4 linked regions of the Lonchura striata genome follow. The protein of the gene in region 3 purifies or fractionates together with the protein of the main gene of each other region. This does not show direct contact. Links are inferred from orthologs where the notes say so. Each region holds a gene or a part of one and is shown on either strand. Other genes may lie near its edges.

Evidence for each region.
Region 1: the proteins of LGALS3 (region 3) and ECE1 purify together in Homo sapiens (affinity purification with mass spectrometry; 3 studies listed by BioGRID and IntAct, counting the BioPlex papers as one, with this or other methods). This does not show direct contact. The link is inferred for Lonchura striata from reciprocal best matches to the Homo sapiens genes LGALS3 and ECE1.
Region 2: the proteins of LGALS3 (region 3) and SLC12A2 purify together in Homo sapiens (affinity purification with mass spectrometry; 3 studies listed by BioGRID and IntAct, counting the BioPlex papers as one, with this or other methods). This does not show direct contact. The link is inferred for Lonchura striata from reciprocal best matches to the Homo sapiens genes LGALS3 and SLC12A2.
Region 4: the proteins of LGALS3 (region 3) and SLC15A4 purify together in Homo sapiens (affinity purification with mass spectrometry; 3 studies listed by BioGRID and IntAct, counting the BioPlex papers as one, with this or other methods). This does not show direct contact. The link is inferred for Lonchura striata from reciprocal best matches to the Homo sapiens genes LGALS3 and SLC15A4.

Annotation. Positions count from the first base shown.
Region 1 is NC_134626.1:6,143,694-6,151,388, reverse strand, and holds the start of ECE1 (endothelin-converting enzyme 1), read right to left. Parts: upstream 3,256-7,695; 5' UTR 3,026-3,255; coding exon 3,023-3,025; intron 630-3,022; exon of another isoform or gene 435-629; intron 258-434; exon of another isoform or gene 83-257; intron 9-82; coding exon 1-8. Other genes in the region: ALPL (alkaline phosphatase, tissue-nonspecific isozyme), read left to right, coding at 5,397-5,454, 5,527-5,646, 6,760-6,872, 7,449-7,623. UniProt on the Homo sapiens protein: Converts big endothelin-1 to endothelin-1.
Region 2 is NC_134642.1:83,894,486-83,902,386, reverse strand, and holds the start of SLC12A2 (solute carrier family 12 member 2), read right to left. Parts: upstream 3,086-7,901; 5' UTR 2,937-3,085; coding exon 2,445-2,936; intron 1-2,444. UniProt on the Homo sapiens protein: Cation-chloride cotransporter which mediates the electroneutral transport of chloride, potassium and/or sodium ions across the membrane. Plays a vital role in the regulation of ionic balance and cell volume.
Region 3 is NC_134608.1:3,560,156-3,568,223, reverse strand, and holds the start of LGALS3 (galectin-3), read right to left. Parts: upstream 3,040-8,068; 5' UTR 2,982-3,039; intron 37-2,981; 5' UTR 1-36. UniProt on the Homo sapiens protein: Galactose-specific lectin which binds IgE. May mediate with the alpha-3, beta-1 integrin the stimulation by CSPG4 of endothelial cells migration.
Region 4 is NC_134620.1:14,451,259-14,458,854, forward strand, and holds the start of SLC15A4 (solute carrier family 15 member 4), read right to left. Parts: upstream 3,133-7,596; 5' UTR 3,113-3,132; coding exon 2,543-3,112; intron 1-2,542. Other genes in the region: GLT1D1 (glycosyltransferase 1 domain-containing protein 1), read left to right, coding at 7,399-7,466. UniProt on the Homo sapiens protein: Proton-coupled amino-acid transporter that mediates the transmembrane transport of L-histidine and some di- and tripeptides from inside the lysosome to the cytosol, and plays a key role in innate immune response.

The sequences.
Region 1 (7,695 bases), on a different chromosome or scaffold from region 3:
GTCGACATCTGCACAGGGAGATCAGAGGTGCTCAGTGGCCCGGGAATGAGGAAGAAATGAAGGACAAGGAAAGTTTACACACCTTTTAAAGCCACCTCCTCCTCCGGGGAGCAAAATCCCGAATAGCTCCGAGGTAGCAGAGCACTACACAAAGCCGGAGGATGGTTATGGAAAGCACAGAGGGCCGGAGCCAAGAGCTGAGCAAAGCCCGAACCCGCCTCACTTTCCCCCGGGGCCGGGTTGTGCAACCTCCCCTTCAGCCTGGAATGAAGCCGGATCCACCTCCGCCCTGCAGTGGGGAGAGCGACCCCCCTGTGCCAGGGAATCCCGTAGTGCCAGGCACCTGGGAGAGGCTGGCAGCAGAGAAAATGGCTTTTCTCCCTGACACTCCCGGCTCGCTCGCGCTCAACGCCCCATCTGCGAACCCCGCGCACCCTGAAACAGCCGGAGAAGTCCCTGCGAGCACCCAAAGGAGACAGCACCAGGAATTTCAGCTGTGGACGGGATCCCTCCCGGCGCCGTGTCCTCCGGGCATTATCTTGTGCCAGTGCCCGGCTCTTATCTCATCCCCGGCAGAAAAACAAGGAAAACCTCCCGGGTTGGCAGCCGGCCCTTATCGCGCTGCCGCCGCTGCTTCCTTCCCCCTGGCACTGCCCTGCCATCCAGCCAGATTGTCTCCCGATGGAGCAAACAACCCTCCACTCCCCACCGAGGGGCTGAGCACCCCAAAATCCACCTTGACCCTGCCACCGATGGCCCGAGCGGCACCACTCAGAACCCTTCACCCGCAATCAGCACAAGGAGGGGGTTTAAACCCATCTGGATGCCCCCATCCCGCTGCCATCAATCCCAAAGGGATGAGTTGATCCAAACCCCGCAAAGCCGAGCCTCAATTTCTCCTGGCAGAATGAAAGCACCGGTTTGTTTCCAATAGCAGCATTCCCAAACCTCCCTTTGCACGCTTAATAACAAGTCTCATTCTCTCCCCGGATCCCAAATCCCAGCCTCAGTTTAATTAACCACAAAACCCACCTGGGGAAGAAAAAGGGTTAAAACAAAGATGTGGTTTCCCTCCTTGGTTGTACCGAAATCTCTGTTTGCGGCCCCAAAATCTCCCCTGGGCGCCCGCCTGGAGCCTGAGAACCGTGAGACGAAAGAGCCTCAACTGCAAGATTTTATCGTGGGGAAAATCTCTGTTTAGATCCTATTTTTTCCCAACCCCTTTCACTTTTTTTCCCACCTATTTTAGTACTTCGCACATGGCTGAAATTGGCAGCTCCGCGCACAAATCACCGCTCACACGGTGGGGGGGATTCATGAAGCCTCCACGGCTCCGCAACACCAAATTCCTGGAATCCCAGCTTTCACTCCATTTCCTGAGGAAATGCAATCTTTTTTTCCTCAGCTATCCCCCACCCTGCCTACCCCAGCCCGAAAACCAGGAAAAAGACAAAAAAATGAATCCCTTTCTGTTCTCCTTTCACAAGAGATGTGCTGGCTCAACCCGGTACCAGCCATTAGAGAACCCAAACTGAGCCCGAGTTCCCCCAAACACCTCCGAGAGGCACTGGGATCGACCCCCAGCATCCTTAATTTGAGGGGAAACTGGGCCCAGGAGGTATTTTTTTAACACCCATATCCTTCACACTGAGGACATAGTAGCACCTCGGGGTGCTCCTCACCCTCTCCAGCAGGTGAAGCAGGAGCACCCCTTTTTGGGGGGAAAAATGGGATAGATTTTGTCACACACTCCCCTCTCCAAGCCGTTATTTACTTCAATCCTAATAAAAACGCATTCTCCCCGCTCCAACAGGGTGGGGGGACACCCACACTTTAACCCCCCGCGCACGGGAGTTTCACCCTCTATACAACTTACAAAAACCCCGGCATTAAATACCCTGCTTTTACCCCAAATCTCTCCTTCGCTCTATAAACAATAAGCCCCACGTGCTCGGAGCCCGCACACCCCCAGCCAGGCCCGGGGGTCCCCCAGGGCCCGGTTCTGCCCCGCCGGGGGAGCCCCGCTCCGGTACCGGGCACCCCGCGCCTCCGCCGGCTGCTTTCAATTCCCGTCCGGGCGCCATTTCGGAGCAACCGCAGCCACGATCGCCATGGCGATTCCTCGCCTTCCCCCAGCCCCTCCGACGCCCCGACACCACCCTGAGCCCCCCAAGTCACCCCCAAAGCCCCGCCTGGCAAAGCGGTGCCCACCCGCCCCACCCCCCAGCACCCATGGGTGCCCCCGCACCTCTACAGCCAGCGCCCAGCGAGGCTCAGCTTGCTAATTAGGATGTCCGGGGGGTAATTAGCAACTTCTGGTGTTAATCAGGGGTGCCGGTGTTAATCAGGGTTTTGGGGGAGCTCCTAGTTGTGTAGGGAACCCTGACTGTGCAGATTGAGTAATTTTTAAAGAAAAGCTTAAAAAGCACTCAAAAAAGAGTTAAACTTTACCGAAAATAAATAAATAAATAAATAAATAGGGAGAAGTACAACCCAGTTTGGGGGTGCTCGAAAACAGCCCCACAAGAGTGGGTTCAGTTGGGTGGGGGGCGCCCCCCTCCCTTTGCCGATGGAAACAAGGTGCAAACCCCCGCGGGTCTGGGTCAAGAGTGGATTTGGGGGCGCCGAGGGGCTTGAGGAGGCACCCAGAGGGGGGCACCCACTTTGGGGTCCCCACCTGCTGACCCCACCCGCCACAAAGAAAACGCCGCTGGGGGGGCCCGAGTGGGGCACCCAGGGGTGCTCGGGGGTGCAGCGGGGGTCCCTGGGGGTGTCTTAGGGGGGTCCTTGGGATGCAATGGGAGACCGCTTAAGGGTCCAATGAGGGTCTCACGGAGATCCTCGGGGATCCAAAGGGTGACCAGCGGGGACGCCGGGGGTACCCCGGGATGCAGTGGGGGGGTCCTATGGGGTTACAAAGAGCATCCCACGGCAAATACATCACCCGGCGCCCCGCTTTGGCCAAGCGGCCCCTACTCAACCACCCCCAGATTTCGGGGTGTCGCCGGGCCCCCTCACTCACCATGGCCGTTACCCCGCTCCCGCCGGCCCGGCCCCGATGGGGCGAGCGCCCGCTGAGCCCCGGCACCGCTCGTGACGCCGCCGCGGCCTAGCGAGGGTGACGAGCAAAGGATGTACCTGGGATGGGAAACCAATGGGGCCGCGGAGGGACGGGCTTCCCGCACGCCTCCTTTAACTCTTTCGGGGGGCCGCAAGCCCCGTTTGGGGGGCCCCGCGTGCCCCGGCGCTGCCGGCAGCATCCCCCCGAGGCAGCCCTGGCTCCCTGGCCGGAGGGGATGTGGCGTCCCGGGGCGAGCGTGCAAGGCGCGATGCCGGCGGCGGCCGCTTGTGCAAGGGCGAAAGCAACGCGGGGCGAGCGCGCTCGTGCAAACGCGTGGGCGAGCGCGGGGAGGCCACCAGCAGCCCCACGCGTGCTTGTGGACGGGCACGCGGCGCAGTCGTGCAAGCGCGTGTGCTGCTTGCACGCCTGCAGCTGCACACACTCGTGCGTGCCCGCAGCTCCGCGAGTGTGCCAGCGTGAGCTTTCCCACGCCGAAAGGCACCGGCGTGCCCTGCCGTGGTGACGGGCATGGGGACACGCGGTGCCACCTCCCGCCCCCTGCGCTGCCCCGGCGGGCTGAGCACTGACGCGCTCATCACACCCACGGGATGCAAATGGCTTCTGCTGGGCTGCGAAAGTGCTGGGGGGTGCAGAGGGGTGAAGAGACGGGGGAAGGGGAAAGGGGAAAGGGTTCCGGAGGGATTTGGAGCGTCCGCAAGGGGCCGTGCCCGTCCTCTGGCATCGCGGCCGTGTTGGGGCTCCCTCGGTTGCACCCCGAGGGTCCCGGCGATTTTTGGGCTGAGACCGCCACCTTCTGGGAGGCCACGGGCGGCTCCGCGGGTCACGGAGCGGCTCGGGCCTCCTCCATGGGGAAACTGAGGCAGGGCTGAGAGTCACCCACTCCCCCCGCCCTCGTCACCGCGTCGTGATTATTGTAGGAACTACAGTAATGCCACGGGATCCCACCAGGGATCTCTCGCGGGCTGCTGCAAGAGCCCGTGTGGTGAAACTGAGGCAGGAAGACCCCACTCATCTCCATCACCCCCACCCCAACCCCAACCCCTCGCCGGTGCCGCTAGCACGGTTTGGGTGAAAATAATGCAAAATCCGGCAAAGCGCACGTCTACCCCACCAAGAGGCACCCCAAACTCCCACGTGTGAAGCGAGGGAGGGTTTCTCAGCACTTATAGCCAGGCTTGGTGCTCCCCAGTCCTCCCAGTTCTCCCAGTATAACCCGGCAGAGGGCACCAGTAAGCCCAGTTTGTGGCCTTTTCTCCCCCCGCCCCCCCCCCCCCCCCCTTGCTGGCAGCAGGGGGAGGGTGGAGGAAGGGGAGGAGGAGGAGGAGGCTAAGGCCGGGTGCGGGGGGATTTAAGGGCTCGCGATCCCCCCGGCCCGGCCTCCTCCCGCCGCCCAGAGGGACGTGGGTGTAGGGACCCAAGTTAGTGCGGGTACGTGTGTGGCAGCCCCCACCCCCGGTAAGGACCCCCCCGGGGGCCACCGCTGCCATCCCGGGGGAGGGAGGCTCTCCGGGAGCGCGGGGTGAGGGGGCGTGCAGCGGAGGGAAGCTGCTGGGGGGATGTGGGGGTGATGGGGACACGGGAGCGTGGTGAGGACGCGGGTGTGCAACGGGGACACACGGAGATGCTGCAGGGACTTGGGCGTGCAACAGGGACACAGACATGCAGTGGGGCCACGAGCATGTGGTGGGCACACGGGCATGGGATGGGGACACGGACGTGCAGCAAGGACATGGATGTGTCGTGGGACGCGGTCATGCGGGGACGCGGGTGCACAACAGGCACAGAAATGCAACAGGGACACGGGTTTGTGATGGGGATGGGGACAGGGGTGTGTGGTGGGGACATCAGGGACGTGGCACACACAGGGGATGCGGTGGGGACACGGGTGTGTGCTGGGACTGCAGATGTGCAGTGGGGACATGGGCATGGGATGGGAACACGGAGGTGACAGGGACACATGATGGGGACACATGAGAGGTACACAAGCACAAGATGGGGACGTGGACATGGAAGGGGAACACACACGTGATGGGGACCTCACTGTGCCACAGGGACCATCCTGGCTTCCCCCAGCTCGGGTTGGTGGCAGTGAGGTGACACCTCATGGGACTCATGACTAGGGAGGCACGGGGGAGGCGGGGTAAGCTGGCATGTCCCCAGGGGGATCACATCGGTTACTGTGTAGGGAGGGGACATTTTTTCTGTCCTCGCTTGGTTGACCCCGGACCAAAGGTCTCAGTGGGGAAACTGAGGCACGAGCGGGTGCCACCCACCTCGCAGCTCTCTTCTGGCAGCCCCCGCTCAGCGCCGCAGGATGAAGGCTCTGTTAGTCCTCCTCCTCGCCCACCTCTGCTCGGCATCGCTGGTCCCAGGTAGGTGAGGTTCGGAGGGGCAGCACCCCAAAGGTGCTGCCGTGGGGTGCTAGGAGCCCGCTTCTCCTGCAGAGAGGGAGAAGGACCCCGAGTACTGGCGGCGGCAGGCGCAGGAGACCCTCAGGAACGCGCTGCGGCTCCAGCGCCTCAACCAGAACGTGGCCAAGAACCTCATCCTCTTCCTGGGGGACGGTGAGATGGGAGGGGAGCACCCACCCCGGGCGGGGGCAGCGGGGCTGGGGGGCACGGGGGGGCGATGAAGTGGCTGCAATAAAGTGGGTGCTGGGATAAACTGGGGCTTTGACGCATTGGGTGTCGTGGGAAAATAGGTGCTGTGGTGAGTTGTGTTCTGGGATAAACTGGGGTTCCTGTAAGCTGAGTGCTGGTGTGAACAGGGTTTGCGAAAAAGATGTGTGCTGGGGTAAACTGGCTGCTGCAATGAACTGGATTTACAAAGAAAATGGGTGCTGTGGTAAATTGAGTTAACAGTAGACTCAGTTTATTTTGTGGGTGCTGGGTAAACTGGATTTGCGAAAATATATTGGTTGCTTCAATCAACTGGATTTGCAAAAAAATGGGTGCTATGGTAAATAGTGTGAGTTTACAACAAACTGGGTGCTGGATAAACTGGATTTGCAAAAAATATTGGTTGCTGCAATCAGTTTGGTTTGTGTTAAGTTGGGTGCTGGGGTAAACTGGGTGCTGGTATGAACAAGACTTAGAGTAAGTTGAGTGCTGCAATAAATTGGGTTTGAAATGAATATTGGGTGCTAGGGAGAACTGAGTTGCAATAAACTGGGTGGCAGCATGAGCCGGGTGCTGCAATGAACTGGGATTGCAGTAACCTGGTGCAGGGATAAAGTGGATTGGCAAAAAATTGGATCTCAGGTAAATTGGTTTTGCCATCATTTGAGTGCTGGCATAAACTGGGATTGCAATAAAGTGGGTGCTGGGATAAATTTGGTTTGCCAAAAACTTGAGTGCTGGGATAACCCGCGTGCAGGAATGAATTGGCTTTGCAAAAAAGTTGGGTGTTGCAATAAACTGGGCTCTGTGATGAACTGCCTTTGTGATGAAAAGTGGCTGCTGGGATAAACTGGGAGCTGGGATAAACTGGCTGCACAATAAACCGGGCTTGCAAAAAAAATTGGTTGCTGTGATAAACTGGACGATGGGATAAACTGGATGATGGGATAAACTGATCGATGGGCTAAAGGGGGTGTGCGGTGAGCAGAGATGAGCGGGGTTTGCGCGGAGCGCGCTGCGCTGCCCGGGGCCGCCGGGCTGGCTGACGGTGTCCCGCAGGAATGGGCGTCTCCACGGTCACGGCCGCCCGCATCCTCAAAGGGCAGCTGCACGGGCAGGGCGAGGAGAGCCTGCTGGAGATGGACAAGTTCCCCTTCGTGGCCTTGGCCAAGGTGAGCCCCCGCGGGGCACCCACGGGGACGCGACACCCACCGCGAGGTCACGGGCGGGCGGCATCGAACGAGCCGAAATTAGGTCATGGGCGAGCGAAGGCAGCTGGCTCCGGTGCCCGCTGGCCGTGCCAGGGGCCGGCCGTGGGAACGGGGAGGGGGGCAGGAGGAGCCCGACGCCTGCGGGACGCCACGGGACCCCCCTGCTTCTCCTGGGGTCGTTTTGCTGAACGAAACATTGTAAAATAATAATTAAATTTGAAGTCGGCGGCCCCCTCCATTCACCCCGTGGGGATGCCCGTGGCTGTGGCTTCCATCTCCCTGCCAAAAGATGGACTGAAAAAAGGCTAAAAGCAGCAAAATGCAGTGTGGAGGGGGGGATGTCCCACCACGGTGGAGGGAGTAGGGGGTAAAATAGGGGGCAAAGGGCAAAAGAGAGGGGACACAGGTGGGATGGGGGTCTGGTGCAGCCAAACAGCCCAGGAAGGGAAGCCCCAGGGTGGGAATGGTGGTGCCGTCAGTGGTGAGACAATGACGGTGGCGATAACGATGGGGGTTTATCCATCTCCCACCTTCCAGACCTACAACACCAATGCCCAGGTGCCCGACAGCGCAGGCACGGCCACCGCCTACCTCTGCGGTGTCAAAGCCAACGAGGGGACGCTGGGGGTCAGCGCCGGTGTCACCCGGGACCGCTGCAACACCACCAAGGGCCAGGAGGTGACCTCCATCCTCCGCTGGGCCAAGGAGGCAGGTGAGGCACAGAGGAGATCCTGGGCAGGAGGTCCAGCGGGCGGCTTTGGGGCTGTTCTCACCGTTGTCCCCT
Region 2 (7,901 bases), on a different chromosome or scaffold from region 3:
TTCTTCAAGTTACTTTTCTCAAATGCACAGAATTATTCAACAATAGAGACCTGCTACTCAGCAGGAACTTAATTCACTCTGAGAATGGAGACAGTAAGACCCCTGGAAACAGTAAAAAAAAGCACATCAGCTCTGAGAACATCTTCCAAATAAAAGTACAGCACACTCCTGATTTAAAAGTTATCAGGGCTCTGTATTCACAAACAATACACATAATCAAGAGATGGGATGAATTTCATACTCCCATGAGATTGCCAGGAACGTAGGTATCTGATGCTATTAGCATGCAGAACACACCCTTATTAAAAGCTTTTGTGTTCACAGCTTTATCTGGAAAGTATTTTGCTAAGTTGGAAGCAAAAATAATGGTTCCCTTCTTCTTATAAGCCTAAGTAGCTGCTAACACCATAATGGCTTTGGACAGTAAACATCTTGCGATAGAACACTTGAGTTACTCCATTGAACTTCAGCTTAAAATTCTGAAGTTGACACTGTGACCTTCTTTAAAAATTAATACTTAATACCAAATACAACTAAAATTCCATATTCCACCCCAATATTCACTTGATGGGAAGAGAGGCCCAAACAGAGAGGGCATGGCTTTAAAAAAAGAAGTATCTTCACATGTACATCTATCCACACTGCAGAATGAATTAATGACACTTAAGAAATTAATAACTTGTATTAATTAATACTCGCTATGAAACTGTTTTGATAATGATCCTGTAATTAGGTTGTCTACCACTCCTCTGTGCCACAGACTACAAAGAAAATTCCTTGCCATTAATTTCTTCTTAATAAAGAAATTGCAATTTTAGAAGCTGTAGGTCCAGAATATGCTATATTCTGCACTGAAATATTTTAATGGTATCAAAGAGCTTTCCACAGTGCTGCAACATTAACACACTGAAAAATCTATCTGCCAAGCTTAGAAATCTGAGAAACATTCTGCTTACAAAGCTGAGTATCCAACACACCTGGTCATCCTATCATGGACCAGGAATCAGAAATCTGGGGGAGCAGCAGGACAGAAGACCAATGTACTACGAGCACACATATATGTGTGTTATTTATAGTTTACCCAAGTCCAAACACATAGTATGAAATCTCAATTGGCAATTACTGCTATCTTAGAACCAGACCACAGATCATCATTTAGGCCATCAAAAAGGGACCTGGAAGGCAGGAGTAATTTGGAGTTATGGTTAGTAATTAAAATCTGTCATCTAATCTCAGATGTCACAAACAAGTATCTTTGTAATGCACCAACCAGCTCTTTCTACTGGAACAGTTCCACAGTCAGTGTCAAAAACACACTCAAAGAATCACCACCATTCCCCCAAAAAAACCCCAAACCTCACACATCAGTGCTGATGCACTGAGAAGCCTAATAATGGTGTGAAACAGGTAAATCTGGAAAGAATACACATTTCCTCAAGGAACTCCACCTATAAGCAGTGAAAAGTGTGATAAAAAAAAAAAAAGTTCTGGAAACAAAATATTCACTTCCTTGGAATGTGGCCCATGCATTTATTTCCCTAAACCCAGCAGAAAGACCTCACTTAAAAACACTGGCTCCTGAGCACAGCCATACACCAATTTTCAAACAGTGAGAAAACAGCATTGCAAGAGTTTAATCTTTATCTGGAGTTAGTTTAGTGACGATAGTTAAAGAAAAAAAAAAATAAGCCCGGGAAATTAATTCTACGTTCAGTTACAGCTGGTCTTCTAGCCAAGCCAGCCTGCAATGCAAAGAAGGCTCTCACTGTCAACTCGTCTCAAATAACACACGGACTCCTAGTCCAAAATAGAAAAAGCCTGAGACGCACAGCTCCGAAATTTTTCAAGCCTTGACCGCGGCACAGGAGCAGCCCTGGGAAGGCTGGCTCAGGATCTGTGCCTGTGCAGATCCAGCAGCATCCGATCCAGATCCCATCGGATCCAGCGGGCTCCACCTCGGAGCCGCAGAGACAAACCTCCGGCCGCTACCAAAGCAAGCGCATCCTTATTTATTTACTTCATTTTTTTAGCGTCTCTACCAAATGTGTTCACTCGCCTCCCCACACTAGTTCCCATGGCGAGCCCCCGAATCAATACGCTATCTGTTGGAGGCGATTTGGACGTGGAAAACCTGTAAGAGAATCCCAGCTCGGTGACAGGGAAAACAACCCTACGGAAAATACCTCTGGCACTGGGGGACCATCTCCCAAAAGCACGTGTTCGTGGGGGGATGGATTCCACTGCGTCAGGAAAAGACAAAAAAAAATAAATATGTAACAGAACTGAGACGCAAGCTATGCACCCGCGCTATATGCGCCTGCTCGAGGCTCGGCGAGCTTTCGTGTTTTGGGTTTGTTTTTTTTTTTTTTTTAAGCTTTTCTGCCGACGCGCTCCGAGGAGCTGCCGCACCCCCGGCGCCGGGGGAGCCCGGGAGCCGCTCTCACCTTGTCCAGCTCATCGTGCAGCTCGGCCAGGCTGGGCCGGAGCAGCTTCTCGCCCAGGTCGGCGGCCGTGTGCCGGTAGTGGTCGATGCGGGGCACGGCGTCCATGGTGTTGTGGCCGAAGGTGCGCAGGTAGTAGGTGTTGGTATGGGTGTCATAGTAGTAGTGGTGGTGCCCGCCCGAGTGCAGGCTGCCCTCGCTCATCACCGTGTCGCCGCCGTTCTGCACGTTGCCGCCCTCCGAGCTGCCTCCCCCGGGCTCGCCGGGGCTCTCGCCGCCGGCCGACGGGTCCACGAAGTTCACCCGAAACCTGCCCTTGGCTTCCTCGCCTCCCTTGCCCGCCGCGCCGATGTCCCCGCACGACTTGCGGGGCCCCTCGGCCACCAGGTCCACCTGGAAGCGGCTCTGGCTCGGCGTGGGACCCAGCGGCTTGCCCAGCGCATCCCTGGAGCCCTCATCCCCCGTGGACCCCGCCGCCAGCTCCTTGCCCTCCATGCCTTCCCCTCGCTCCGCGGCCGCCGCTGCTCCGAACGCCCCTCCCAGCCGGCGGCTCCGCTGCTTTAAGCGGCCGAGCGGCGCCCCGGGGCTGCCGCAGACACAGCGCCGCGCCCCGCCCCCGCCGCAGCGCCAGGTGACGGCGCCGCTGCTGCCTCCGGTCCCTCCGCCCGACCCCGCTCAGCCCAGGCGGGAGCGCGGCCGCTTGCTCGGCTGGCGCGGCGGCAGGGATGCGGCGGGGAAAAAACCGGCGGCGCCGCGCAGGCTCCGCCCGCTCCCGGCTGCGGCGGAGGGGGCGGCGGGAGCGCGTCCCCGGCCGGGCGGCGGCGGCTCCTCCCGCCCGCACTATGGCGGCCCCGCCGCATCCGCCCCGCGGCGGCGCTGGGAGGGGCGGGGGGCGCGCCGCGATCCCGCCCGGCACGGCCCCGCCGGCCGCCGCCACGTCTCGCGAGAGGAGCGGCGGGGCGCTCGGGGCCGCGCGGTGCCTCGCGGAGCCGGGACCCCTCGGCAGCCCCCGGGAGCCCTCGGGGTCCCTGGGGCACCCCCGGAGCTTCGCGCACAGCCCCGGAGCGCCCATACACACCCCGGAGCTTCGCGCAGAGCCCCGGAGCCCCTCACACAGCCCCGGAGCCCCTCACACAACCCCGGAGCTTCACACACAGCCCCGGAGCCCCTCACACAGCCCCGGAGCCCCTCACACACAGCCCCGGAGCTTCACACACAGCCCCGGAGCCCCTCACACAGCCCCGGAGCCCCTCACACAGCCCCGGAGCTTCACACACAGCCCCGGAGCTCCCATACCCACCCCGGTTCCCCTCACACAGCCCCGGAGCGCCCATACCCACCCCGGAGCCCCTCACACAGCCCCGGAGCCCCTCACACAGCCCCGGAGCTCCCATACCCATCCCGGGTCCCCTCACACAGCCCCGGAGCTCCTATACACACCCCTGGAGCCCCTCACACAGCCCCGGTTCCCCTCACACAGCCCCAGATCCCCTCACACAGCCCCGGAGCCCCTCACACAGCCCCGGAGCCCCTCACACAGCCCCGGAGCCCCTCACACAGCCCCGGAGCCCCTCACACAGCCCCGGAGCCCCTCACACAGCCCCGGAGCCCCTCACACAGCCCCGGAGCGCCCATGCCCACCCCGGAGCCCCTCACACAGCCCCGGAGCGCCCATACACAGCCCCGGAGCCCCTCACACAGCCCCGGAGCCCCTCACACAGCCCCGGAGCCCTTCACACAGCCCCGGAGCTCCTATACCCACCCCGGTTCCCCTCACACAGCCCCGGAGCCCCTCACACACCCCTGGAGCCCCTCACATAGCCCCGGTTCCCCTCACACACCCCTGGAGCCCCTCACACAGTCCCGGAGCGCCCATACCCATCCCGGTTCCCCTCACACGGCCCCGGAGCCCCTCACACAGCCCCGGAGCTCCCATACCCACCCCGGATCCCCTCACACACCCCTGGAGCCCCTCACGCACCGAGGGCCTCCCGTGCACACCCCCAGATCCTCTCAGTTCCCCTCAGAGTCCCTCACACACACCCCCAGACTCAAGTGCACCCCCTGATCTCCTCAGATCTCGGTTCTCCTCAGACACCGCCTGATCCGTCACACACACACCCCCTGGGTCCCTCACACGCACCCCCAGAGCTCTCACATGCTTTGGTGCCTCGCACAGCCCCTCGGACCCCTCGTATGCCCTTGATCCCCTCAGATCCCTCCTGTTGCTCACGCACACACACCCAGATCCCCTAACAAACCCCCGGTTCTTCACACACCCCACGAACCCACTCACACCCCCCGTTCTTCAGCCACCACCCAGAATCTCGAGGCTGGGTCCGGCTGGAAGGGACCATAGTTGGTCATCTGGGCCGATCTCCCCGCTCCGGCAGGGTCATCCCGAAGCACATGGCACCGTGTTGTGACCAGACGGCTCTGGAATGACTCCAGAGACACAGACTCCGCGCCCTCCCTGGACAATCTGTTCCCGTGCTCGGTCACTGCACAGGGAAGAAGTTCTTCATGCTCAGGTGGAATGTTCCTGTGCATCAGTCCCTGCCGTTTCTCTCACCCTGGTGATTGACCATCACCAAACTGCACCATCTCCCTGGCACCCTCCTATTGATATTTATAAACAAGGATGATGTTTTTTCTCAGCTGCCTCTTTTCAAGGCTGAGCAGGCCAAACTCCCTCATCTGTCCTCATGAGAGATGCTCCAGTGCCCCCATCATGCTCATTGCCCCTGGACCTGCTCAGACGCTCCCTGGTTCTTCACACACCCCTTGCACCCCTTCACACACCCCCTGGTTCCTCAGACACCCGTGAACCCCTCACCCGCCTGGACTCCTTCACATCTCTCCATGGATCCCCTTTTTTTACCTTCCAGCCTCTGGATCTCTGCCAATTGCACTGTAAAAACCACTTGCATAATAGATCTAATGTCAGTAATGCCTTTTTCTGTCTCCTCTGCTGCAGCTTTTTGTCCCTGTTCTCTTAAAGTTTATTCTCTCTCCAGAAGCATACGTGGTTCTTTAATTTGAAAAGTGAAGTCGTTCTGCCTCCTCGCTCTCACTGGAACATAAGTGCCTGGATAATCCATTAAAGCATATGAAGTTGGCTCTTTGTGAAAAGAAACCTCAGATGGGAGTAAAATACTTCAGCTTCCACAGAGAGAATTTAAACAGGGACTCAACAATGATTTTTCATTGTGCATTTTTGTTGTCTTTATACTTGAAAGTAGCAGCTCACAGAATATCACGAGAGGTGGGCTGTGTCTCCAAAACACTTTTACCTCATTTAGGGTGCTAAAAGTAATCAAGCAAACATGCACTTCAGTCAGGCATCTTGAACAATGCCACCTCTTTATGTTAGTGACATTTTAGTTGGCACTTCTGGGTTCCAAATATATTTTTTTCCCCCTTGATGTGAAGTTCTGTATATTTTCCCCCTCTGCCTAGCAAACTCTTGAGTGCCAACATCCATTTTCTATCTCAGCACACCTCTACTGTTTTATTTCAATTAACAACAAACCTGGTGACGTCATCCAACAGAAAATGACTGGAACCATAAAACAAAGCTTGCTTTTCCATAACAATTAGAGGAAGAAGTATTTCAATTCTAGGGATGTGTACATGCCTAAAAAAGCTGAGGATGCCTCAGTAGGTTAAAAAGATGGGTACACCGATCCTTACTTGCTTAAACACTGTTCTAGAAAAACAGAACAAATCGTATACTTCAAAATAGTTTGAGACATTATTGGATAGACTCACAAATTTAAAAAGAAAAAAGAGAAAATATTTGAGTGTGTAAAGAAAATAAAATCTGTGTGCAAACTGGAAAATAAAAAATTAGGCCATGGTGAAATTTTTACTTTTTTTCAGGGTGCAAAGACCTGTAAAACAGTGGATGATGAAGGGAATGAGTCAAAATAAAAGATTTCTGTTCAGAACTGAAAGTAAACAGCACCTAAACAACAGATGATATGCAAAGAAAATCCACCTTACATTTTTAATAAGCAGATATAAACAGTTCTTTACCAACAACATCTGCATAGAATGTCATATGTAAGAGGTTTGGAAACAGTTTAGACTTGGAAATGTCAACTTCTGTCAGTTCCCCACATAAATAAGTGAAAGCAGAGGAGAGAAACAGCATGTGAAATCCCATGGATTTTATGCAGTTGATAATGGTGGGATGATACTGCAATATTTAGATAGTTTAAAGGACAGTCTTCATGGACTAGTGGATGTGTTGTTGGCTACAACTGCAAGGCCCATGGCCTGCCTGGAGTCAGTTCTTAACATTCTGTGATTCCATGGTTGTATGAATGTGAGATAACTCTAAATACTGGCTTTGAAGAAAACAAAAAGTTGAGGATGCTACTGCAGCCCCCAAGAAAGACAAGGGAATGGAGGACTGAGAAAAAGATTGATGAGGAAAATACAAGCCTCTCAGAATTAAAAGGATCCAAAAGATGAGGAATGGGAATTACCACTGTATGAGAAGCTGGGAACAGCAGCAGTAGGAAAATGAACCAAGATTTCATCAGGGTTCTGGGACTTCATGTAACCCTGAAGTTCTCTCACCCTGAGAAAGGTGCACGATTCTGTAGCTGTAAGGGATAAAAAAAAAGCACACAAATTCCCATTAAATGCCAATTAAAATGTCATCAACAGTAAGAAATACACTTTGAGGAGAAAAATAAAAGAATATTCACTTTAAGCTCATAATTAAATGGTTTCTTACATGCCACTGCTTAAAATAGCATTGCAGTAGAGTTTGGGTGTAATTGGTAAAGAAAATAACATAACACATTAAATAAAAGCAAGCAATAAATTACTGTTATTCTGGCCAAGATTGTTTACCACAGAACATTTGTAATTGTTTTTTTTTTCTTTTGAAAGGGAGGAGGGAGGAGCTGTGGAGGTTTTCAATATCCTTTGACAAACTTTTTCTACTTTGAACTTGCCATTTGTCAGCTTCATCAGATATTTCATAGGGCTCATTTGATAACTAATGTGAAACACTGGAAAATGCAAACACTTTATGCCATTATGATTGTCCTGGTTATTTAGACTAGATCTCACTCCTGTGTGCCTCTTTGCCAAGCAGAAGAACTGTAATTTTAAGTCTTTCTCTTCCAAAGTGCAAGCTGATGACAACCACTCACTTTGCCTACCAGATAGGGCCTTTTCTTCTGTGAGGGCTCTTTATATCATCATCATCATCCACTGGCCTTAGGCTCTTCATGGGCTTGCTGTTCCAGATCTATGTGCTAATTTAATTTTTTTCTGTATATTTTTCTGTATTGGGGCATGCTCATGATCTGTTTTGGTTTTAATACATTTCAGCTTTTGCACGGAAAAGACTTTCTCTAGTAACTTGCCTTCTTTCTACTCTTTGTGCCAACTTCCTCTCAAACTTTCTCAAGACATTCTTGATTGGTGATACAAATTTTT
Region 3 (8,068 bases):
CAGCTGTGGTGCCAGAGAAGAAATCCTGTCCAACACCTGTGGGATAAACAGGAGGCACTGCTGTGAGCAGCCTGAATGCTCGGGGTGGATCCAGCCTGTCAGAACTCAAAGTGTCCCTCAGACATTTTTGGAGGTTCCAGACCCAGGTCAGAAGCAATTGAGACCCTGTCAGGCAGCTGGAAACAGCTGTGATTTTGAGTTTGAACATGGAATGATTTACCAACCTTGCAGGAAGAACAAGCAGTCAAAAAAGTTTAGATATTATAGTAGAAGTAGTTACAAAGTAGAGGGAAGAGTTTTTGAGTGCTGTACAGGGGGGTTTAAGTTTTGTACATGGGGGTCAGAGATTTTAAGATCGATTTGGGATTTGGGCCTGCCCTGTCCTCCCTCTTTCTCCTTCCTTACCTCCATGTTCTTGGTGATGTTGGCACTCACAGGTTGGTTTAGAGTAGAAAAGCACTTTGTAATATAGGTAGTAGGTATTGGGGAAAAACTATAAACATGTAACACATAATGTACCATATAAAATATAGAAAATCACCATTTAGTATAGGTAGTAGGTATTGGGGAAAAACTGTAACCATGTAACACGTAATGTACCATATAAAAGAGAGCAGCAGCCCTGGGTGGGGAGAGAAGAAGCAGTCGGGGTCAGAGAGGAAGTCAGGGTGTGTGTGTGCCTCTGCCTGAGCTGTGAGCAAACCACAGCAGCCCCAGAAGAAAATCTTTTAGATAACTCACAATAAACTGCCTTGAGACCAACAACAGAGACTGCTGAGCCTTTCCTTGGAAGCTCGGGTTGGAGGAGAGACTTTTCCACCACACAGAGCCACCCCTGACCCAGGGTGAGCTCCAGCACCAGCCCAGCCACCCTCGGGAGGAAATCCACCACCGAGCTTACAACACTCCCAGTGTTATCCACTTCCCCAGCCTTGAGGCACCATCCAGGATTTCCATTTCCATTAAAAAAAAAACCCCAAATGGGATCCCTGGGGGATGCAGGCACAGCATCAGCCAGGAGCTGCAAATCCAGCGCAGCACATCGGGGACATGCAGCCACCCTGTGACACTTGGGACGGCCTGGAATGGGCAGGGGAGGGTGGCAGCCACCCATCCAGGTCCCCTTTCCTCTCCCATACATCACAACTGTCCCATTCCAGCCGGAGGGCACCATGGGAGGGACACAGCGGCTCCGGGCCAGATAAAAGCTGCTTTGCAAGTTTTGTGAGTCCACAAAACACGCAGCAAACACACACCTGCCTGTGCTCAGGAATAGCCCGAGCTGGGTTCCTCCCATCAAAGGGAGCATTCATAAGAGAAGGAAAAAGGGAGAGCCAGAAACGAGGGAAGAGAAGGAAAAAAAAAATAAATCCAAATTTAAAACAGAGAAGGCAAATTCTCTTTGAAAGAAACATTCGGATGCACAAAGCCTGCAGGAGGTGTGGCTGCCCTGCCTCAGGAGTAACAAACCCCCAAGTTTCACAGCTAGCAAATCGCTTCTCTTCCTGCAAAACAATCATTCTCCTGAGCCCACGGGGTTTTTAAGGCAGCCTTCCCAGCAGAATCCAGAGTGTTTGAGCAGCCCATATCTCCCAAAGCTTTTATTTGCCTTCTGGGCTCTTTCTAAAGCCAGAGTTTGGGGTGCACACACAGCCAGGTCAGGTGTGCTCCATGGTGTGCTCCTTGTGCTGCTCCAGGGGACGTCCTGCATGATCCCCCTGGAACACCTCAGGGAGCAGCAAACCCCAAGTTTTATCCCCTTAGGCACCCTTGGGACAAGGTGGCCAGACCCTTGTGTCCCCCAGACAGATCTGGGGACACGTCTGGACAGTTTTGGAGTCTGTAACCAAAGTCCCCAAACCCCACTAATCCTCTGCAGCCAGGCGTGGAGCCCGGTGTCACCTCCTCTCTGTCACTGCAGTGCTGGAGCTCCCGGAGCTCTGGAAATGCCCTCTGGGTTATCTGGTTTTCTCCCACTTTTTCAGCAGTGCCCCAGCGCTGGATTGCAGAGAATCACAGCATCAGTGGGGCTGGAAAAGCCCTCTAAGCCCATGGAGCCCAACCATTCCCCCAGCACTGAGTCCCCAAGTGCCACATCCACGTGGCTTTTAAATCCCTCCAGGGATGGGGACTCCACCACCGCCCTGAGCAGCCGTGTCAGGGCTGAACAAACTTTTCCATGAAGAAATTTCCCCTAATATCCGCTTAAACCTCCTCTAGTGCAGCATGAGACCATTTTCTCTCATCCTGTCTCTTGTTCCCGGGGAGCAGAGCCTGAATCCCTCCCAGATCCATCCTCCTGTGAGGGAATTGTGGAGAGTGAGAAGGTCCCCCCTGAACATCCTTTTGTCCAGGCTGAGCCCCTTTCCCAGCTCCTTCATCCACTCCTCATAGAGTACTTGAGCTCTGATTTCCAGCAGCATTTGGGCAGCTGAGCTCGAGTTTACCTGAGCTCTCTCTGTCTCAGCCCAGGATCAGCTGCAGGGAGCATCCCAGAGCTGACCCCAAACATTCCCTATGTTCACATTAAGCAGAAAAAGATTTCTATTTGGGAAAGAAACACCAGTTCTCTCCCCTTCGGTGATATTCCTGCAGAACTCAAACCTATTCACTCCTAAACGCAACTGCCAGAACAGAAAAATAAAGACGGGTGAGACTAAAAAGCATTTCTTACAAAGTCCAGGCAGTATCTTCTGTCTTCCAATGCCAACTTATTATAACGGGCTTCTGTCTCACCCCGCAAGGATTTGGGGGCACGGGCAGGGCTGTGCAGCCCCCCGCGAGTCGCAAACACCCGTGGATCTCCCCGCAGTGACGGTGCCTCCATCACCCCTCGAACCAGCCGGGGCTTCCCGTGCGCCCCAAACCGCGGAGCTCCCACCCCGCCCTCCCAGGCCACCGGAGCACCCCGAACCTTTCCCCTCCGAGCATTCCTGTGCTTTATCCCCCCGTTCCCCCCGGGATTCCCCCGCATCCCTCACCGGCGTGCGGCGGCTCCGCGGCTGCTCTGGAGCCGCCCGGGGGCGGGGACGCCTCGGGGCGGTCCCGGCGCTGGGGACACCCGTGACCGCCCCACCCGCGGCGTGGCTCCCTTCGGCAGCGCTGCATCCCCCCCGGAGGATGCTAACAGAGACAATTGGGCTTTTCTCACGGTTTTCCTCGCACGGCGCTTCCCTGTAGGAACTCAAAATGTCTTAAGTTTGAGCTATAGAATGAATGACTAACTTTAAAGGTAGAAGAAGCAGTCACAAAGGGTTAGATAGTATAGCAAAAGTAGTTACAAAGTAGAGGGGGCAATTTTTTTAGTATTGTACAAGGGGGTTTTAACACATGTACAGGGGGGTTTTTACTTTGTACATGGGGGTCAGAAGTTCTAAGATAGAGGAAAGTCGGCTGATCCTGTTCTTCCTCCTTCTTCTTCCTTACCTCCATGTTCTTTCTAAGATAGAGGAAAGTAAGCTAATCCTGTTCTTCCTCCTTCTTCTTCCTTACCTCCATGTTCTTAGTAATGTTGGCACTCACAAATTGGTTTAAAGTAAAAAAAAAAACCACTTAATAATATAAGTAGTAAATATTGAGAAATAATTGTAAACATGTTATACGTAATATATCTTACAAAAGATAGCAACAGCCCTAAGTGAGGAGAGAGAAGAAGAAAACACCACAGTCAGGGTGTCAGGAGTGTGTGCATCCCTGCCTGGGCTGCTGATCAAACAGCCGCAGCCCGAGAACACAATCTGTTAAATAATCAGCAATAAATTGTCTTAAGACCGAACAACAAGAGGCTGCAGAGTTTTTCTTTGGAAGCACAGCTTAGAGGAGAGACTTCACCACCACACGAGACCCCAAAGCAAACCCAAGGTTCCCACAGTTCCCGTCTCCCTGCCCCGCCCGCCTGCAGCCTCTGCCAGATGTTCTTCCTCGCCAGATGTTTGCCCATGCGGCTCACGGCTCCATCCCCCCAGCTTTAGCGCAGCTGGTAAAACACCGATTGGATTTTAAATGGTGAACATTTTGTCCTTCGTTTTCACCCGAGGCAGCGAGGCGGGCAGAGGATGGGCTCTGGGAAGCTGCTGGAGGCAGCTGGAATTTCAACAAGCCCGATTTTATTTGAGGTTGAGGGTGAATCATCTCTGCTTTGCTCCATGGGCTCCAATGGAAAAGAAAATAGTGGTTTTGTGCTGAAATCCTGACCTGCTGCACTGTGCTGCTGGGAGAAGGGAAAGGGAAGGAAAAGAAAGGAAGGGAATTAGAATGGAATGGATTAGAATCAAACAGGAGAGAGGATTTCGGTAGGAAGACACCCACAATGAGCATCTAATCCACCTCCCTGACCAATTCAGGGCTGGCCAAGGGTTACTAAGGGACTCACCCTCTAATTATTGGTGTCATCACAGAGGTACAAAGTGCTGCTTTTAGCCAGCAGCTCACAGCAGCTCAGCTGCAGCTGATATCCAAAAAAAAAAAAAAAAAAAAGGCAAAAATATGTTGGCTTTGGCTCTGATTAATCCTAGTATAAATTCCTCTGGTTCGACTCTGCTTATTTAAAAGATTTTGCTTCAAACATTGACCAAAAAGATTGGCCTGTTTATTTTCCTGCACAAGTGCCCTAAGGTTTGTATTTTCAGAATTCACAGAATGACTAGGCTGGAAGGGATCTCAAAGATCATCGAGTCCAACCCAAAACATGATGATAAAGAAAAATATTTGACCAAGAGTCAGTGGATACAGAAGTTAACACCAGGACTAATTAATGCCTTAATTTAAATAAGGAATTATTTAAATTTTTATATAGTATAATATATAATGTATAATATATAATGCATAATGTATAACATATAACATATAATATTAATATATAACATATAATATTAATATATAACATATAACATATAACATATAACATATAACATATAACATATAACATATAACATATAATATATAATATATAATATATAATATATAATATATAATATATAATATATAATATATAATATATAATATATAATATATATTATATAATATATAATATATAATATATAATATATAATATATAATATATAATATATAATATATAATATATAATATATAATGTATAATGTATAATGTACATTATATAGTATATATTTTACTTTATATATGATTGATATATGATATATGATATATTATATATTATATATTATATATTATAAAATATATAGTATATAATATTTTATTATATATATTATTATTAAATACTATATTTGCTATATCAATAATATATTCATATTGTGAATATTTTATACATTTGTAATATAAAATATTATAGATATTTATTATTTCTATATAATAAAATATATTTCTATTATATAATATGTCTATAGTTCATACATTTTATTTATTTATTTAAATATTTAAATATGTAATTAATTTAAATAAACCAAGCTGCAGCAAGGATGATGAGTGAGGTTGGATGGGGCTTGGAGCAGCGTGATCTGGTGGAAAGTGTCCCTGCCCCTGGAACAAAAAGGCCTTTAAGGTCCCTTCCAACCCAGTGCCACGGCTCCGTGATTCAGCGTCCTCGGCGTGGCTGCTGGAGCCCTTTGCACACAGAGCCAGCAACGTTTCTCTTCTGAGTCATCCCATGGTGACACACAGGGACACCAAAGTGTGGCCACTGAGCTTCACAATTCTTCTCCCTGCGACCCAGGGGCGTGGAAAGTTGTTTTATTGCCAGGAGTCAGCAGAGCAGGGCTGGGCCACCCCGGCTTGCAGGGAGATGCAAGGCCCAGATCTCCCTCACAGCCTCCTGATGCCTGGCCATGCAACCCTGGCTCTTCCAAAGTGCCTGAAGAATTAGTCGTGCCTCAAAAATCAATATATTCCGTGGGTTTGATTTTTTTAAAACACTCCCAAGTATCTTATTTACTTTAGAGAGCCCTCAAAGTAAAACAAAACCCTCCTTGGTACCATGGATGACTTAAAGCCCCAAATTGCAAACCCAGGGGGTGGGAGATGGAGGACCCAGGGAGGTGGATCAGCCACGAGACCACCCCATTTCTGGGGGATGTGCTCTCAACTTTCCCTTCATTGCAGCTAAACACTCCAAGCACGAGCTGCTTTCCCCATTTTAGAATTCCCAGCATTTCTCCAAAGGCAAGAGCCAAAGGATATCTGACAGTGGCTGGGTCTGCTTGGGGGAGCTTGGAGTTCCTCACTGCAGCTGGAAAAAACAGGGCTGTGGAAAAACACCACACTGCAATAGAGAATTGATCTCCAAAAGGTTAAATAACTTTAAAACGGTATTTTCACACTGCTCAATGGGACATAATAGCCAGAAATCTGCTCCTCTTTTCCTGATGGTAAATTAATTGGAGGAAACCAATCTAGAGGGCAGGAAGCTCCACGGTGTGAGAGATCCGCTTCCCTTCCCAGAGCAGAGCAGCCCACAGCCACATTTCCCTGCCTTGTGATTCCCGTGGCCCGACGTGAGTGGGACTGGCAGCACCCACAGAGTGCAATGTTTGGGCTGCAGATCTGCCAGGGGGGCCGTGCTTGATTTTCAAGTGCTAAATCCAGCCCACCATCCCTGCCTGTGCAACCTGCCAGTCTGGGAGCTGTGACAGCATCCCCTCCTCGCTCAGGGCTGGGGATGAGGCTTCGAGGAGCCTTCATGGAGCCCTGTGAGAACCCCAGCCTGGTTCAGGGGTCCCGTGTGGTGGTGAAATTCCTCCTCCAAGCCGTGCTTCCAAAGAAAAACTGCTCAGGCTCTTGTTGTTTGGTCTCAAGGCAATTTATTGTGAGTTATCTAAAAGATTTTCTCCTCGAGCTGCTGTGGTTTGCTCACAGCTCAGGTAGAGGCACACACACACCCTGACTTCCTCTCTGTCTGCTGTCCTCTTCTTCTTCTCTCCCCACCAGGGCTGCTGCTGTCTTTTATATGATATATTACATATTACATGTTTATAGTTTTTCCCCAATACCTACTACCTATATTACAAAGTGCTTTTCTACTCTAAACCAATCTGTGAGTGCCAACATCACCAAGAACATGGAGGCAAGGAAGAAGAAGGAGGAAGAACAGGATCAGCCCACTTTCCTCCATCTTAGAACTTCTGACCCCCATGTACAAAGTAAAAACCCCCCTGTACAGGTGCTAAAACCCCCCTGTACAATACTAAAAATATTTCCCCTCTGTTTTGTAACTACTTTTACTATCCTATCTAACCCTTTGTGACTGCTTGTTCCACCTTCAAAGTTGGTAACTCATTCCATGGCTCAAACCCAAAATCACAGCTGTTTCCAGCTGCCTGCCAGGGTCTAAAATACTTCTGACCAAGGCCTGCAACCTCTAAAAATGTCTGAGGGACATTTTGAGTTCCAACAGAGCCCCTCATGGCACTTCCTGAGGTGTCACTGCAGCTCCAGACCCGAATTCCTGTGGCTGAGTCACCTCTGACTCTCCTTGCAATAAAAAAGGACAACACAGCAAAATCAGGCAATGGGAATCTCCTGTGTGACTTGAGCAGTATCATTCCAGGACTTCTGAGAGCAGGGATTGAATAGCCCCACTGTCGCCCTGATTCTTAAGATTTTCTAAAGCCTTCTGAGTTTACATTCTGTTAGAAAACTTTCCCACACATTTTCTATAAACAATGTATTATTTTGCATTCCTTCGTGGGGTTGGAGGAAGTTGATGTACTGGTGGTTTGTCCAATGTCTTTGGAGAGGTGGCACCTTCACTCTCCAATCCACTGTCACCTTTGGAAAAGTATAAAAGTTGGAGTCAGAGAATAAACCTTCTTCTTTTTTACCTTGATATTGCAGTGGCTCCTGTTGTGCTTTCTCGTGTCCTATAGCAACACCCCACTCCTCCTCTTCCTCCTCCTGCAGCCTTTTTGGGGACGTGGTTCATCCCAGAGCTTCCTTGGCTGCATCACCATCTCCCCCTCCCCAAAAATCTCTTTGCACTGGGGAAAAATTCCATCAGAGGAAGGTTGAGAACTTCAGCAACTCGAGTTCGATGGCAAAGAAAGGAAAATCAGTGGCTAAGGAGCACCACCCCTGCTGCTCACACAGAGTCTCATGT
Region 4 (7,596 bases), on a different chromosome or scaffold from region 3:
CCAGCTTTGCAGGAACTCTTTTTGCTACACTGACTGGTGGAAGTTACTTGATCGTAATGATAGTAAAAGGGTTTTAAAATCATGGAGATTTGGGGAGTTAGAAGGAAAATTAAGCTTAGTAGGCCCTGGGAAAATACCCTGGGAAAGTATAGGCCTTGTACTTGCTAGAACTGCACCTGTGTAGCCAGTATATGATAAATGATATAATTGTTAGATGTGATGATTGTTTAGAAATTAAACATAATTACTGTTTAATCATAAGAATAATCATGAGAACCTGTAGTCAGAGGCTTGAAAAACATCACGAGAAACTAATGGTTGAATAAGATCAATGTATACAATAGAACAATATAAGTTTAATAATTAATATGTAAGTTTCTATAACGATAGAATATAAAATACGTTCAGCTCGAGAGCCATGTTGGAGTCAGATTTGGGGCTGTACCCCTGATCCCAGAGCTCCCAATAAAAGCACCTGCACCGTGATTATGTGTGCTCCTGAACAGTAACACTAACTCTACAACACTTCTAAACGCAGGCACTCAACGGAGAGTTAGAAACCACACCTTCCAACTTCAGAGAAAAGTAAGTATTGCAATTCAGTTTCCGATTTTCCACAAAGTGATTCTGCTAAATAAAGAAACCTCTCATTGTACAAGAGCTCTCCACCCAAATTCTATACACACGTTAAAGCTGAGAAATTCATTTGGTCATGTTTAAATGTAATTAATATTTTGAAAGGTGACTGTGCCAACTAAAGTACGTAATATACAATTCATCCTTTCCTTTGGGGAAAGAGGACAAATCTTATCAGCACACAAATCCAGCCAAAACACATCTACAATGTGCTCTGGCCTCCCAAGAATGTGGCTCTGGGATGGACTTTATTCTCAGATACACAGATAGGTAGATAGAGATATACACAGATATAGATATACAGCTATATAGATATATACTCATCTCCTCAGCAGTTTTCTACATTCCTATGCAGGGAAAAGGCACCCAAGAGGGCCCCAAACTGCACTCCAAGGTAAGTGGCATCCTGTAGTATATTTAACAAGAGATAAGCCAGAAAAAGGGAGAAGGGGAAAAATTCAGACCTCGGCAGAGCTCCACTGATTATTATGGCCCAGAAAGGAGTATTTCTTTTGCTTCACCCTACATAAATCACTGTGAATTATCTGCAAACCCAGCCAAAACCTGCTTTCTTTGAAATCCTAGGGGAAAAGCCTCTACAAAATCCAGCTACAAGAGCTACACTTCCATTGGCAATGGTTCTTCTTTTGCTCTGTTCCTGCCATTATTTATCTCCCATATTTAACTTTCATAAAGTGTTCTGGGGATAAGCAGTCAGTTTTGAAAAACACCTTACAAGATAAAGCCATATTAAAGCTATTTCACTTGATGGGCTGAGGCTGGCTCAAGCAGAGCTAATGCACTGGGGACACACAGTCCTGGGCTGTAATAATGTTTTACATTTATATACTGCCTTTTACCCAGAATTTAGAATACATGAAATGCCAAAGAAAGACAAATGCAAACTGCACAACAGAGAACAGAGGTATGTTTGACAATGATTCTGTGGTGGATTCTCCCTCTTTCAAAGAATTCATGGCAGTTCTGGTAACTGCTCTAACCACAACTCAGTGAGCCAACAGACACGCAACTGGACTTTCAGTTTAGTTAGAAAAGCTGCTCAGCAGTACCTGAGCATATTGAAATTCTCCATTTGTAAAGCAGAAATTACATTTCAACATCCACAGCCAGCACACCGCCTTAGCACAGGGCTGTAAAAAAAGCACACGTAGCAGAGCGTTCCAGTTGCTGCTGAGCTGCAGGTCGCCTCTCACGTGTGTTCTGTGCAGCCCCTGGGCTCTGCAGTGATGACCCAATGAATGACAGCACTGTGGCGGGTCCCTGTGAGGTCATTTGACAGGTTGTGTCCTTAGGAACAGCCAGGTGATGTTTACCAGGGTCAGAGCAGCTTCCCCCATCATGTGATGCAGCACGAGCCTGCACAGAAATGCCACTCAAGGGCAGTGCAGTGCACAAATACCTGAAGGAGAAAATCTGTCGGTTCTGCAGCCTTCCTTTACCACAGAAAGGCAAAGGCCTCTGACACTGCCTTAGAAGGCCCATGTCATCCTCGTCACAGCTAAAATGTGTGTCTTGTACTTCATCTGATGAGCTCTGAGGTCAAATTAACTGGGTACAAACTCACCAGCGTGGACAATTAACAGTCCACTTAATGGCCATTAAGTATTCAACCCAAGTCCTCAAGACGGCGATGGCTTAGCCAACTCAGACACCACAGCTAAGGCAGGAAAACCAGGAAAGCAAGGCTGGTAAGGGATCTGACACCGCACAGGCACCAAAATGACACCGAACTGAACAAGCTGCAGTGCGCAGGGCACAGAGCTGGTGCTGCGGTCCCTCCGAGGCTGAGCACCTGCAGAGAGGTCAGTCGCTCGGGCACTGCCCACCCACCGAGGCAAGCCCCTGTGCCACCCCCGAGCGCTGCGGCCGCCGGACGATACTGGACCTGGTCTGCCCCGAACGGGGTGATGTTGGCCTTGACCGAGCCGACGCCCAGCCCCACGAGGACCAGTCCCACGAAGGTGGCGGTGGCGCAGTAGCGGGCGGCTCCCACCTGGGAGCAGGGCGCCGGGGTGGCGTTGGCCGCCGGCGAGGAGCAGTTCTCCACGGGGAACAGGGGGATGTCCCCGCAGAGGCCCTGGCGGGTGTGCGGCGCGGCGATGACGGGGAAGGCCAGCATGCCCAGCAGGTACAGCGCCATGCTGAGCAGGATGGTGCCGAACTTGCCCAGCAGGGCGTCAGCCAGCCAGCCCCCGAACGGCGACACCAGGTAGGTGATGCCCATGAAGAGCAGCAGCGCCTGGCTGGCCTGGGCGCCCTCCCAGCCGTAGGGCGGCCCGTTGAGGAACAGCACCAGGTTGGAGGTGATGCCGTAGAAGGCCACTCGCTCCAGCAGCTCGGCCAGCAGCACGGCGGCGCAGGCCAGCCGCCGGCCCTGGAAGGCGCCGCTCGCCGCCCGCCCGCGCTCGCCGCTGCCCAGCAAAGGGCTGCGCTCGCCCGGCTCGGCCTCGTCCATGGCCCCGCGTCCCCCCGGCCCCGCCGCGGCCGCGCCGCGCTCCCGGCCCGCCCGGCGGGGCCCGCCCCCCGCGCAGCGCCGCGCCGCCATTGGCCGGGGGCGCTGCCACTCCGCCGGCGCCCGGCCCCGCCCCCGGCAGCGGCGCGCTGCCATTGGTCGAGAGCGCTGTCACTCCGCCCGTCCCGCCGTCATGTGCCGCAGTGGGGCGCGGCGGGGCGGAAGTGGCCCGGCCGTGAGGGAGCCCCGGCGGGCGGCACGGTGCCCGTCAGAGCGGGCAGGAGGCTCCTCGCGGTGCCCGTCAGAGCGGGCAGGAGGCTCCTCACGGTGCCCCTCAGAGCGGCCGAGCGGCCCCTCACGGTGTCTGTCAGAGCGGCCGGCCCGTCTCCCCTCCCGGTGCCCCTCAGAGCGGGCAGGAGGCCCCTCGCGGTGCCCGTCAGAGCGGGCAGGAGGCCCCTCGCGGTGCCCGTCAGAGCGGGCAGGAGGCCCCTCGCGGTGCCCCTCAGAGCGGCCGGCCTGTCTCCCCTCCCGGTGCCCCTCGGAGCGGCCGAGCGGCCCCTCACGGTGTCTGTCAGAGCGGCCGGCCTGTCTCCCCTCCCGGTGCCCCTCGGAGCGGCCGAGCGGCCCCTCACGGTGTCTGTCAGAGCGGCCGGGCGGCCCCTCGCGGTGTCTGTCAGAGCGGCCGGCCCGTCTCCCCTCGCGGTGCCCCTCGGAGCCGGGAAGCCGGGGTGCGGCTCCTCTCCCGCTTTGTCTCCGCTGCCGCAGGGAAGTGGGCTCCGACAGCAGCCCCGAACCCTTGGGTCCCCGAGGAAGGGAGCTCCGCAGACCGCCCTGCCAGGCAGGCTCACCTGGCGCAGGTGCGCTTGGAATGCCTGCAGCAGCTGCTCCGGTGCTCTGCCATCCTCAGTGAAAGGAAGATCTTCACGGAGAGGCGGAACTTGGGCTTTAGTTGATGTGTATTGCTCCTCATCCTGTGGCTGGGCACTGAAAAAAGCCTGGCACCAATATCTCGGCCTCTGAGATATTTATATGCATTTATGAGATCCCTTCTCAGCCTTCTTGAGACTAAACAGACCCAGCTCCCACATTCTCTCAGAGATGCTCCAGACCACAAATCATCTTTGGGGTTTTTAGGGTTATTTAATGCTGTAGTTTAAGGTTGTCGCACAACAAGGCCTTTCAGCAGGAAAAGGTGATAAATGTGCACTGTAAAAGGCTGGTTTTATATGTGTTTTTATGTTTGGGCCTGGCTCAGCACCCAGGATGTGCCTGGTGACTCAGGGGTGGGAGCAGCAGCTGGGTGTGAGGGCATGCAGGAATTACGCAGGTGCACATGGAGAATGACCACTCTGATTTCAGTGGGACAAAGCATGTGGTTAAAATGGGAAAACATAAATCAGCGGTTGCAAGATTACAACCCTGAGATGTGCTGCAATTACACATGTTGAGGTAAACGTTGTGAATGTATCACATTGTCTTCAGCAGCAGATCTTAAAGTCTTATTTTTGGCCAGAACAAAGTGGGTAAGACATGGCTGGTTGTGTGTTTTCAGTGAGAAAGTTAAATTTATTGACATAATGTGGTTACATACCAAACATTTAGGCATGACTTACTTTGGAGCCATGTTGGTAAGGGACCAAGTGATGCTTGCAAAAGTAAATATATTCGTTCAATAATGGGCCTTTGTAAATAACATATGCCATAAAAATGACTCATTAAATATATTTGCTTTCTTAAGCAGTTAAGAAATTTCATGACAAAGGACAATGAGGAAAAAGCAACCAGCTGTACAGACATTTCCTTGTGAACTACTGTAACATGACTGATTCTGTAACAAAATTACATTTTCCTAACTTAATACAGTATTGTCATATTAGCTGTGATTGCAGTTTCTGAGGAGTTTAGTAGTATTTTCTGGAGACTCAAAGTAATGAGGCACACTTTGTATTATTGTTATTTTCATGTGTATTTCATATCTATTTCTTATTTTCATGTTTTAGACCCTTCATAAATTGACCTTGGTGAGTGAGGTGAGATTTCTACACTGACCTATCCCACAACTGGTACGAACACCTACCAATGCTGAGCAGTAGTTGAAATGTACATTAAGATGTTACCTAGCTCTTCAGGTACAGAGGTGCAGGCACTCTCCCTGAAATCCACACCTCACTGGTAGAACCCATACATTCTCTCTGGAAGTGCAGCAGCTGAGGAAGGAGGTTTTCGTTTCCCTCCAATCAATCCTTAGCTACAGTGTGTTTCGAAGTTCATTGTGATACATCCACGACCGTCTGTGCACACAATGAATGCAGCTGTGTCTATACAGGAAAACATTCGTGCCATGTCCATGTTTCCAAGATACAGTGCTGCACATTTCCAGATTATTTTTTTTTAGGCAAGGCCTATACAGCATAAAGCCAGAGTTACCATAAATAGTGATAAAATGTTAAGATCTCTTTGAATGTTTCCTTTATTTCCTCCTTATTTCTCAGGTGACTGGTTGAGTTTCCTCATTTCTCATGGAGCAGGCTTTGTCTTACTTTAACGTTTGCGTTTTTGTCTTCTTTGTGTTGCACACTAAAGGTGTAGGACATCTTTTGTTAGCACAAAACGTGGCTTTCTGAGCCACAGGCAGACACCCTGCTTCGGGGTACGCCTGGAGAATCTCCATCCTCAGTGGCACAGGCTGCTCTGGGCACACAGTGCCAGAGCTGCCTGCTGACACCCCTGGATGGGGAGTGAGGAGATTGTGGAGCCAGGAGGGGCCGCGGGGCGGCTGTGCAAGTCTCACACAGCCCGTGGGACACCTTCAGCTCTGGGACAACCGAGAAGCCCAAATGTGCTTCACGTGGGCCGCTTCGAGGCTGGAATCCTGGCCAGACTGACACAAGCCCTCCACATCTCAGCAGGAGTGGGATTTCCTGCCAGTAACACTCCCTAGAATGGTGACACAACCATTCTAGAACCAATGGTTTGGTTCTGCCTACCCTTAGATTAGCGTTTACCCTATTTTTAGCATTTCTGCAGGATTTGTTGCTCTTCTAGGTTGCAGCCAAAATTTTTAGTTCCGGTGGAATTTGGCCTAAAGAATGTTGTGCTAAATCTAAGTGATATCTCAGTGAGATGCAGCTAACACAGCTCTGCAGCACTAAGATTCATTAGCAAAACACGGGCCTGCCTAGCAAAATGTTTACAGTTTGCCAGAACCCACTCCAGTGTGTGTCTTTACAAGTTCTAAACCCTCAATTCCAGAACACCTGTTAGCCTCAGAAATCCACACAATTTATTGGAAGAAGTACTGTTTCAAATATCATTAAATTCAATATTCTTCAGCATGCAGCATGTTTTTCTCTATCTACCTGACACTGAAATTTGAAGAGTAATTTAGGCCAAAATAACAAGGCACTGCAGTTTTTGAAACCCACTTTTCCCCATCTTCTCCAGCCTTTGGGGAAGCTAGCATCTGTGTGACCCTGTGGTGAATTACATCAGGCAACCAGGTTATAAGCAAAAAAGAGAGTTTTCTGTCCACTCAGCCCCCCCTCTCATCACCACCAATGTCCTGCACCTGGTCTCAATACTTTTACAAGACGTTGAAATAAGTTGAGGTGAGAATCTGCCATCAGCCACCTGTTTCCTATTAATGTCCCAACGAACTCCCCAAACTGGCCTCTCACCTTCCTGCCTGCTGCCCCGAGTTTGTGGCTGTAGCTGCCCTTTTATCCTGAACACTGGCTTGCTGCTTTGGGATGTGCTTTTCTTCATCTGGAGTCCAGGTTTGTTCCTTTTTCTTCCCTGTTTTGTTGTATCTTTGGGTTCTGCTGTTGCTGTGGTTTCTTGCCTTTTCCCTGGTCTCACGGACCTTTGGTTCTGCTTCTTTATGTGGCTTTCCTGATGCTGGGAGTGGTCTTCGACCATGCCATTGCCTTATTCTTCAGACTAATGCATTCCTCTGGCTGTTCTGGTGGTTAGGTATTTTCCTATCGGCATTCCTGCACCGAGCATGAGGCACCTCCTGGGTGGCATCGGGAGGCAGAGGCTGCGATGCTCTTCTCGGGAGCCCTTAGAATTGACAATCTGAGCATGTCATCTCTGTGCCTAGCGAGGACACAGCGCGGTGCCGAGCTGTGGAAGGCACCCAAAGCTCTGGCTCGGTAGCCAAGTGCCCTCTGGCCAGGCTGGCCCATCCCGCAGGGCCGGGGGCCGCGGCCGCTCGGCCCCGCTCCGCGGCGCCGTTTCCGGGGGCCGCGGGCAGGTGAGGCGGCGGCGGGCGGAGCGGAGCGGCCGCTATGCGGCTGCTGCTGCTGGCGTGTCTGCGGGCACAGACCGGCAACGCCACCACGGCCGCCAGGATCCGGTAAGTGCCGCGCTGGGAAGGATGCGCTGCGCTCCGCGCCCGCCATGCGCTGCCCGCGCCGGCGCACGGCGGCGGCTCCGCCGGCCGGGCTGCGCGGGGGCGGCGGCCGAGCCCGGGCACCGCGGGCACC